Coturnix japonica: one gene and its partner. Each later gene encodes a partner of the first gene's protein in a complex. Links are inferred from orthologs where the notes say so. Each region holds a gene or a part of one and is shown in the gene's direction. Other genes may lie near its edges. The genes, in order: PLEKHM1 and MAP1LC3C.

Region 1 (4,294 bases):
ATAGCTGACCCATAGCTGACCCATAGCTGACCCATAGCTGACCCATAGCTGACCCATAGCTGACCCATAGCTGCCCCATAGCCGCCCCACACTGAGCCGTCCCCATTCCCCGCTGCTCTCAGGGCTCCGATCGCAGTAAGGACGATCCCCAGTGGCTGCGGGATCTTTACCTGCCCCTGAATGAGCTGCAGAAGGATTCGATCCAGCAGCTGTACCGGGAACCGGGGGACGAGGAGGAGGAGGATGAAGAGCTGCTCAATGGGGCCGGGCCAAAACGGGACGGGACGGCGGCCACAGCCGACCCCAAAGGCAGCAAAGGGGCTCCGTGATCCCACAGCCCCGATGGATCCACCCCATAGAGCCCCGGAATGGAGGGAGGGGCCATGGGGATCAGTGGGGGGGGATGTGCTGAGTTATGGGGTGGATGGAGCCGCTGGGTTTGATATTAAAGGATATTGGTGTTCTATGGGGTGTGTGTGATATGGGGGGATCTGTAAGGGGGTCTATAGGGTGTGCTATAGGGTGTGCTATGGGGTGTTCTATAGGGTGTGCTATGGGGTGTGCTATGGGGTGTGCTATAATAATAATATAGGGTGTGTGTTCTATAGGGTGTTCTATAGGGTGTAGCTACTAATTGGGTGTGCTATGGGGTGTTCTATGGGGTGTTCTATGGGGTGTTCTATGGGGTGCTCTATAGGGTGTGCTATAGGGTGTTCTATGGGGTGGTCTATGGGGTGTGCTATGGGGTGGTCTTTGGGGTGGTCTATAGGGTGTGCAATAGGGTGTGCTATAGGGTGTTCTATAGGGTTTTCTATAGGGTGTTCTATGGGGTGTGCTATAGGGTGATCTGTAGGGTGTTCTATGGGGTGCTCTATGGGGTGCTCTATAAGGTGTTCTGTTTATGTTGGGTGGGTCTCTATGGGTGTCTAAGCGGTGTTTCTATGGGTCGCGTCTATGGGTGATTAAGTGGGTTGCTATGGGGTGATTGATTCTATGGGGTGATTCTATGGGGTGATTCTATGGGGTGATTCTATGGGGTGAGTCTATGGGGTGTGCTATGGGGTGGTCTATAGGGTGTTCTGTTCTATGGGGTGTGCTATAGGGTGTTCTATGGGGTGGTCTATGGGGTGGTTTAATAGTTGGGGTGTGGCTATGTGTGTTCTCACTTATATGGGATTTCTATGGGTGTTCTATAGGGTATTCTATAGGGTATTCTATCTTAGGGGTGGTCTATATGGTGCTCTCTATGGTGTCCATGTGTCCATACACACTCAGCTCTATTTACACCCATCTCTCACCCACGTGCCCTTTTCCCGCCCAGAGCGCGCCAATTCTCTCTCAAGTTCCCGGCCCACTCTATGTTGGGAGTGGCCTCTCTTAGCATCGCCCCCTTTGCGTGATGACGTCACGAGGAGGCGGGGCTTACAGCCGCTACTTCCGGGTTTCCCGGCCGGGTCGTGGAGGCGGTGAGAGGGGGTGGTGGGGATGGGTAATGGGTAATGTGGATTGGGCGATGTGGATGGGATGGTGCATGGGTTGGGAAATTGGGGGCGATGTGGGCTGGGGATATGTTGGGTTTGCTGATGGGGTCCGGTGGGTGCTGGGCCGCAGTGGGGCTGCTATAGGCCCTATGGACCCATTAGTCACTATGGGGCTGCTATAGGCTCCTGGAGGCATTCTAGTCTGGTTTCTATGGGGGCTGCTTCTGGGTCTTCCTTGGATTCCCTATAACCAGAGTTGACATGGTTACACTTGGTCCTGGTGTTGGGTGTAGGTATGTGCCCATAAGGGAGAACTCGTCCCATAACAGGGCAGGACTAGCCATAAGGGCGGACTCGGCCATAACAGGTCGGACTGCTGGGCCATTAACAGGGAGGATCGGCATAATCAGGGGAGGTGACGCTCCTGCAGCACTTTGACACCTTTTGCATCAGCTGCTGGAAGGGGCTGGGATCGGAGCTGCTGCCCCACAGCTGTGGGGTGTTGTGGGATCTGTGGGGCAGGCTGAGCTCTCCTCCATCCCATCCCATATCCCATCATATCCGATCATCCCATATTATCCCATCCCAGTGCCCATCATCCAATATGGCCTTGTGGTGCTGCGATACACATCGGGCGTCGGTTTCGGAGTACCTCCGAGTCCTTTCGGGAGTGCAGAGATCCCATAGCCGGTTTGCCTACATGGTGTTCCTGTTTTTTCACGAGTAGCCATATGCGACAGGAATGTCCAGTGGTGTTTTTTTTCTTTCCTTATAATTTTACATTCATATAAAGGCATACTTGCTGTTGAAACTGGCGAGCCGGTTTATCTCTAGCTGAAGGGCCTGGTTCATGAAATTACACCTCTACGGTGGTGGGGGCCGGGGGGCTTCAAAGAGCTGACGAGTCAGTGACGAGCCCCTTCGCATTTACGGAGGAGGTATTACAACGAAAGCGGTGTTAACAGTTCGCCTGCCAGTTAATGGAGGGGGGGTCACATATGGCGGTGCAAGAGTAAGGATATAGCTTATATCACTTATTAGAAGCGTCACAGAGGTTAAACTGAGTTGAGCAGAATTTAACACACGACAAACAACACAAAAGATACGCACTGGTTACAATCCGCCAGGGGGACCGAATTGTAATGTCGGCCAGAATCTACTCTCACGCGCTATATCAGACTATCTGCGAAATGGTCTGAATCCCCCAGTAAACTTTGTGCGAGTCAGCAATGGAAAAACTTCCATTGATTCCGGCTTTTACGCCACCAGGAGCTTCTTGGCTGGGCTGGAGTCCTAGATAAATAAACATCTATATGAGACTCTCGAACATTCTCCTTCTCTTCTCGAGGCCCACAGATCGCCTCAAGGCCTCCTGGGGATCAGGCATTTTATCAAAAGGCGAGGTCCACAGAATAAACACTGGTGATAAGGTGGGGCAGTGAATTATAACACACGTGTCCCTTCGCCTGGAAAGTTAAAGGGGAGCCTCGCTCGAAATGGAGGCATGGAATTTTGTCCCTCTCGGCCTCCAATAAGGGCACGCACCAGTGTCTCCATCTGCTGCAGGATAGGAAATGGAGGATGGGGAGCTTGACTGGTAACCAAGGAATCTACAGCACGCACTCCTCATGGGCTGGGCACACACTCTACGACTTTCTCCGGCACCTAGGGTAAGATTGGAATATAGGAAAAGGGGAAAAGAAACACACGAACGCTAAAGTCCTTTTATTGGTAGATAAAGCCGAAGGGTTTGTCTGTTGTCCTTTCTCAAATAGAAACAGCCTTCCTGCTCTTAAAAGAAATTATGAAGCTTCTAAAATGGTTGGGGCATTCTAAATTTTCCAACTGGCATTAACAGGCTTGTGGAATCGCTTTGCGCATCTCCTAAAAGAGAATAAAAACAACAAGGGAAACCAATACCAAGGTTAAGGGTCTAGGGAAGCAGAAGATGGAGCCATCGATTACAACCACTACAGCTACATGGAATGTTATGTAGAGGCAGTTGTGTATCTTTACAATTTCTTGCAATGTTTGCGATCGCAGTCAGCAGAAATAATCAGATGAGCTGTACGCTACAATGTGTGCGCTCCATTGGTTGGGTTGCTGGACTGAATAGTCCCTGAAGAAATCACTGGGGGCGCATGCGGGCACAGGCGAAGGCAAGTGAGGAGAGTGCCCTGGGGGCAGAAGCGGCTGATGGTGGCGTATGACGTCAGGGTGTTCGTGTCCAGGCCTCAGCCTCGCTGCGTACTCTGGGGAAGGGCCCCTACATTACAGATGAATGTGTTCGTGGCCATGTGCAGCTGAAGGCAAAAGCCCTTTCTTAATACCGCAGTGACGAGTGTTGTGGGGGACGCTTCTGAGACTTTTCAGGTGGTTGTGCCATTAGTTTTACAGAACTGGCCAGCGGAAGGTCGTGCTAATGATTGGAAAAGTTACCGAGCAAGGATCACCTGGTCATACATGGATCCAACATCACTCACCAGCCCAAGACCAGGGTCCCTCGACGAAGCGTGTGTGAAGACCATTGTGCAAATGCCGTTGCTGGCTGGGTGTGTGGAGGGGCAGCGCTGATGGCATAAGGCTTTCTCTAGGAGCCTGGAGGCAGCAGCAGCTCCAACAGAGCTGGAGAGCTGTCGCTAGCAGGGACAAGTGTCAGCTATTGCAGAGGAATGCGGGACAGATGCCAAAGAATGCGGACAGATCTATCACAAGTACACGGTTGGCTGAGAAGAGGGTCAGCAAAGACTCTTCTTAGAAACGAGCAAGCACGGAGTTTCCAAAGGAATAGTCGCAGACTGCTCCAGCTGCTG
Region 2 (3,960 bases), on another chromosome or scaffold:
GATCAACATTCAATTATACAGCTACAACCTGGAAAAGGCTGTAAATGTGGCAGTGACACAGGATTAGATAATACAGGCCAACCATTTTCATTAAGGTCCATGGACTTACAGGACTCCCATCAATGCAGTCTTCAGGCATGCGAGCAAGTAAAAAAAGAATAACAGTTACCTTTCTTCCTTGTGCTTCAGTATGGCACTCTGAGAAATCCATTCACTGCGCAGAAGTGCTTCACTAGTCCAATAATTACATGCAAGTGAGAAAAACTTCCAAGGGAAAGGAGAGAAGAAAGATCACATTCCACATGCAAGTCTGAATCTGGATAATTCGATGCTAGTGTAAGCACAGGTGCTATGCAGACACACAGATGACCTCCCTTGCTCTCTGCCTCCAGATGATGTAACGCAGGGCATCTGCTAACTGTGCTCACTTTTAGCTGCAGTAGGAATTAGAGCCACAGCCAAGAATTTCACTTGAAGTTCCGTTCTTCAGCTCCCTCCCTCTCTTGTCAGGTGCTCAGTTTTCTGTCAAACAGCTGCCTGTGAAGGCTAACATCCCTCTGGAAACAAGGTGCTGGTGGTTGTGTGGAACCAAGTCCAGGTGTTCCACATGCATCTCTGATAGGAGCCCTGGAGCTCTCCTGCACAGCTGGGGAGGCTTACCTTGGGGATGGGTCCCTTAGGGGCCGTGTTGACAGCACCAAAACTGGCCACAGCTCCCCTCCCAAGTCTGAGGCTCAGCAGCTCCTCAGAGCAACACACCCTGTCCTCTCTACATACTTCAGTTCGTTGTGCCATTTGGTGAGCTGTGCTGTGATGGTGTCATGGTTTTGTAATTTTGCTATCAGTATTCCACATCATAACATCATGTAAAGTATGGATAATTTTACTGAATGTTCAGCTCACAGAAGAAGACTACATATCCCAGAGGACATCATGGTCAGGGATAAGTCACGGGACCAGGACACTATATAATCTCACTCCCAGGCTGGACTTGCTCTTCACCAGACTTTTATAAACCCCCTTACCAGGGAGAAACATCCCTTGCTTCACAGTCACACCTTATTCCTGAGATGGCCGTCAGGCAGTACGTACACTTGTGAACAACTTTTGTCAAGGATAAAGCACAGGAGGAGTACATTTTGTCAACAATGTGACAAATGCCTTCGGAGCTCATAAGAACTGCAGCCACTGCCAGCAAACCAGACACTGATAAGCCACTTTCTCACAAACAAGGTCACATATCTCATCAGAATTATGGTGCTGTTGCTCTCTTTTGTTTTGTTTCAATATAAAATACTAAAAACAGTTGTATTACTTTCATGTATGAACCATGTTATGTATTTTATGAGGGCTGCCCTGAAAGTAATGCTTCATACTATGTGATGCTGTCCCACGATGTCAGAGGCAGACATTGGAGGTATGGCAGCAGAGGTTGAATCCTAATATTCGTTACACGTTGTAGCTGTGTGACAGATGGCAGCAGAGGGGCAGTTTGACAGAACGGCGTCTGGCATGGAAGTGTGCGTGAAGCAAAAGCAAGGCTGGGCAGCGCTGGGATGGATGCTGGGATGGATGCTGGGATGGATACTTCCAAGGCAACTCCCAAATGCGAAGCAGCCCGCCCGCCACACGCCGCCCCTCGGGGCGGTGCCGGACCGGCCCATAAGAGGCGCGGCGCGGGGCGGCGGCCTCAGGCGGCGGGATGCAGGCGGGTCCCGGGGTGCAGCCGGTGCGGCCCTTCAAGCTGCGCAAGAGTCTGGGTATGGTTATGGGGATGGGACGGTACGGTGCTCTCTCTCTCTACGTTACAACGTAACGCTTGTGCTCTCTCCCGCGCAGCCACCCGGCGGGAGGAGGTGGCCGGCATCAGGGCCAAGTTCCCCACAAAGATCCCGGTAATTCGCTGCTCCGCGGGCGGGGGCTCCCGGCTTCTGCCTTGAGTATTTTGGAAGGAGGGGAACGGAACGTCGCTGGGGCTTCTAAGTGACTCTAATTAAAAACAGGTAATCGTTGAGAGGTACCAGAAGGAGAAATACCTTCCCCTGTTGGACAAAACTAAGTTTCTCGTCCCCGAGGAGCTGACCATGACGCAGTTCATCACCATCATCAGGTAAGGGCCGCGCACTACCGCGTGAGAGGGGCCTGGGGCGGCCTCCCCCAGCGGGAGCTGATAGGGAAGAGCTCGGGGCTCCCGAGGTCCCTCTTCCCCCTCACTGGCGGATAAAGGCGGCGCGAGGCTGCTGCTCTGCTCCCGTTCTGCCTGGTTCTGGGCTGTGCTCTGCATCCAACTGCTGCTGCCCTGCTGCTCCTGTTGCACTTACAGGTTGCCCAAACCTGTGGCAGCTCCATCCCGGGTGTTCTTTACAAATACACTGGCAAAGAGGTCTCCTAAAGGGGGGCGTTCTGTGCAGGGGTGCTGGGGAATTGTAAGGCAATTTTTTGTCAGTGACAAAAAGTGCGTGGAAGCCATGTTTCCAGTTATTAACTTATGTAGAAGATACTTTTGTCAGCCAGTCTTCATGTGTAAAGTCTCTGAGTGAGACTCCTCTGAAGGTGGGCAGGCCTTAAGTTTAACAGGCTGTGCTGAAATTCCCTATTGTAGCTACACTCAGCACTTCTTGGGAATGGGCAGCCCCAGGCTCAGGCTTGGTAGCAGCTACAGTCCTGCAGCTTAAGCCTTTCCCTGGAGCAAGCTTCCTGTTTCTGAGTACAGTTAACTTTCTGATGGAAATATTAAACTAAGCAACGTCTTCGTGCATAAACTATGTACAAGAAATGCTGCAACTATTCTGCTTAATGTATTTTATAGACTAAGGTTGAAACCTTAAATTTGCTAATGCTTGGTCCTTTGTTTCCTTTTCCCTCTTCATTCAGAAGCAGGATGGCTCTGACTGCTACACAAGCTTTCTACCTGCTGGTGAACAACAAGAGCTTAGCGAGTATGTCTTTGACCATGGCAGAGGTGTACAGGGACTACAAGGATGAAGATGGCTTCGTGTACATGACATATGCTTCCCAGGAGATGTTCGGATGCTGCTCACTCACCTTAGGGAAAACTATGGAATGCCACCATAAAACCTAATGCTGGGGTCTATATGCTGCAGCTAAGCCACTGTGCTGTGAATCATGCATGTGACATGAGACTCGGAGATGCTCCCTCCAGTATGAGCTCTTGAGCTCTGTACTGCGGAGTTATGATCCAAAAGCTGGCAGGACCGGCTCAAGGCAGAGATGGTGGTACACTTTTCCATGGATGATAATTTAGATGTATATTTTTATACTTGGAAGGCACTGTGGGGTTTCTTTTTTGTTGTTGTTGTTTTGGAACTGCACCTCCACTTTTTGCAATACCGATCTTGTGATGTAACTGCTTTTTAAGGTGTTGCTTAAGAATAAAATAAAGAAGCTTTTAAGTACTAGGTTGAATGTCAGTTTTAATTTGGGGAGAGACTTCCTGGGAAAAGGTCCTAGAATGATTCTGGCTCCAGGCTTCTGGAGTGGAGTGTTGCTTGCACAGCCACTCATTCAATTTCACAATGAGATAACAAAACTCAAGCCTGCTCATGCAGCAGTAGGCTCATACCTACAAACAGTTCATTCATTGAAGTACCTGAGTAGCAGGGTTGCATCAGTGCTAGAATAGGGGTCAGTGTTCTGCTCTTTCTATTGAATTCTGCTAGTCTGGTCTGTAGGCAAGCTGGTCATCCCTTTCACCTACAGGCACCTGCACAGCTCTTCTGCTGAGGGACTTCAGTGAGCCTTGCCTCAAGTGTGGGTGTTTGTGCTGTACCTTACAGAGGTATGTCAGCGTATCTGGAAAATGTCAAAACTATCATGTAGTGACATGCTGATACATTTATTGTACAAGCTTCCTGAAAATGAATTGGAAGAAACTCTTGACAGGAGGTTCAAGCTGAAGTGCAGCTTTCTAATATATCAGGAATGTGTCAGAAAGTTGTA

What was found.
Region 2: the proteins of PLEKHM1 (region 1) and MAP1LC3C are in contact, whole or in part, in a crystal structure (PDB 5DPW), measured with the Homo sapiens proteins. The link is inferred for Coturnix japonica from reciprocal best matches to the Homo sapiens genes PLEKHM1 and MAP1LC3C. Residues at the interface, in NP_055613.1 of Homo sapiens: Glu632, Asp633, Glu634, Trp635, Val636, Asn637, Val638, Gln639, Tyr640; in NP_001004343.1 of Homo sapiens: Phe13, Arg16, Lys17, Glu25, Ile29, Phe33, Lys36, Pro38, Asp54, Lys55, Thr56, Lys57, Phe58, Leu59, Val60, Pro61, Glu63, Leu64, Ile72, Arg76, Phe114.

The regions. Positions count from the first base shown.
Region 1 is NC_029542.1:1,138,053-1,142,346, reverse strand, and holds the start of PLEKHM1 (pleckstrin homology domain-containing family M member 1), read left to right. Parts: upstream 1-1,384; 5' UTR 1,385-1,466; intron 1,467-4,294. Other genes in the region: leucine-rich repeat-containing protein 37A-like, read left to right, coding at 123-329. UniProt on the Homo sapiens protein: Acts as a multivalent adapter protein that regulates Rab7-dependent and HOPS complex-dependent fusion events in the endolysosomal system and couples autophagic and the endocytic trafficking pathways.
Region 2 is NC_029518.1:32,120,218-32,124,177, forward strand, and holds MAP1LC3C (microtubule-associated proteins 1A/1B light chain 3C), read left to right. Parts: upstream 1-1,646; 5' UTR 1,647-1,702; coding exon 1,703-1,760; intron 1,761-1,839; coding exon 1,840-1,895; intron 1,896-2,003; coding exon 2,004-2,110; intron 2,111-2,874; coding exon 2,875-3,082; 3' UTR 3,083-3,419; downstream 3,420-3,960.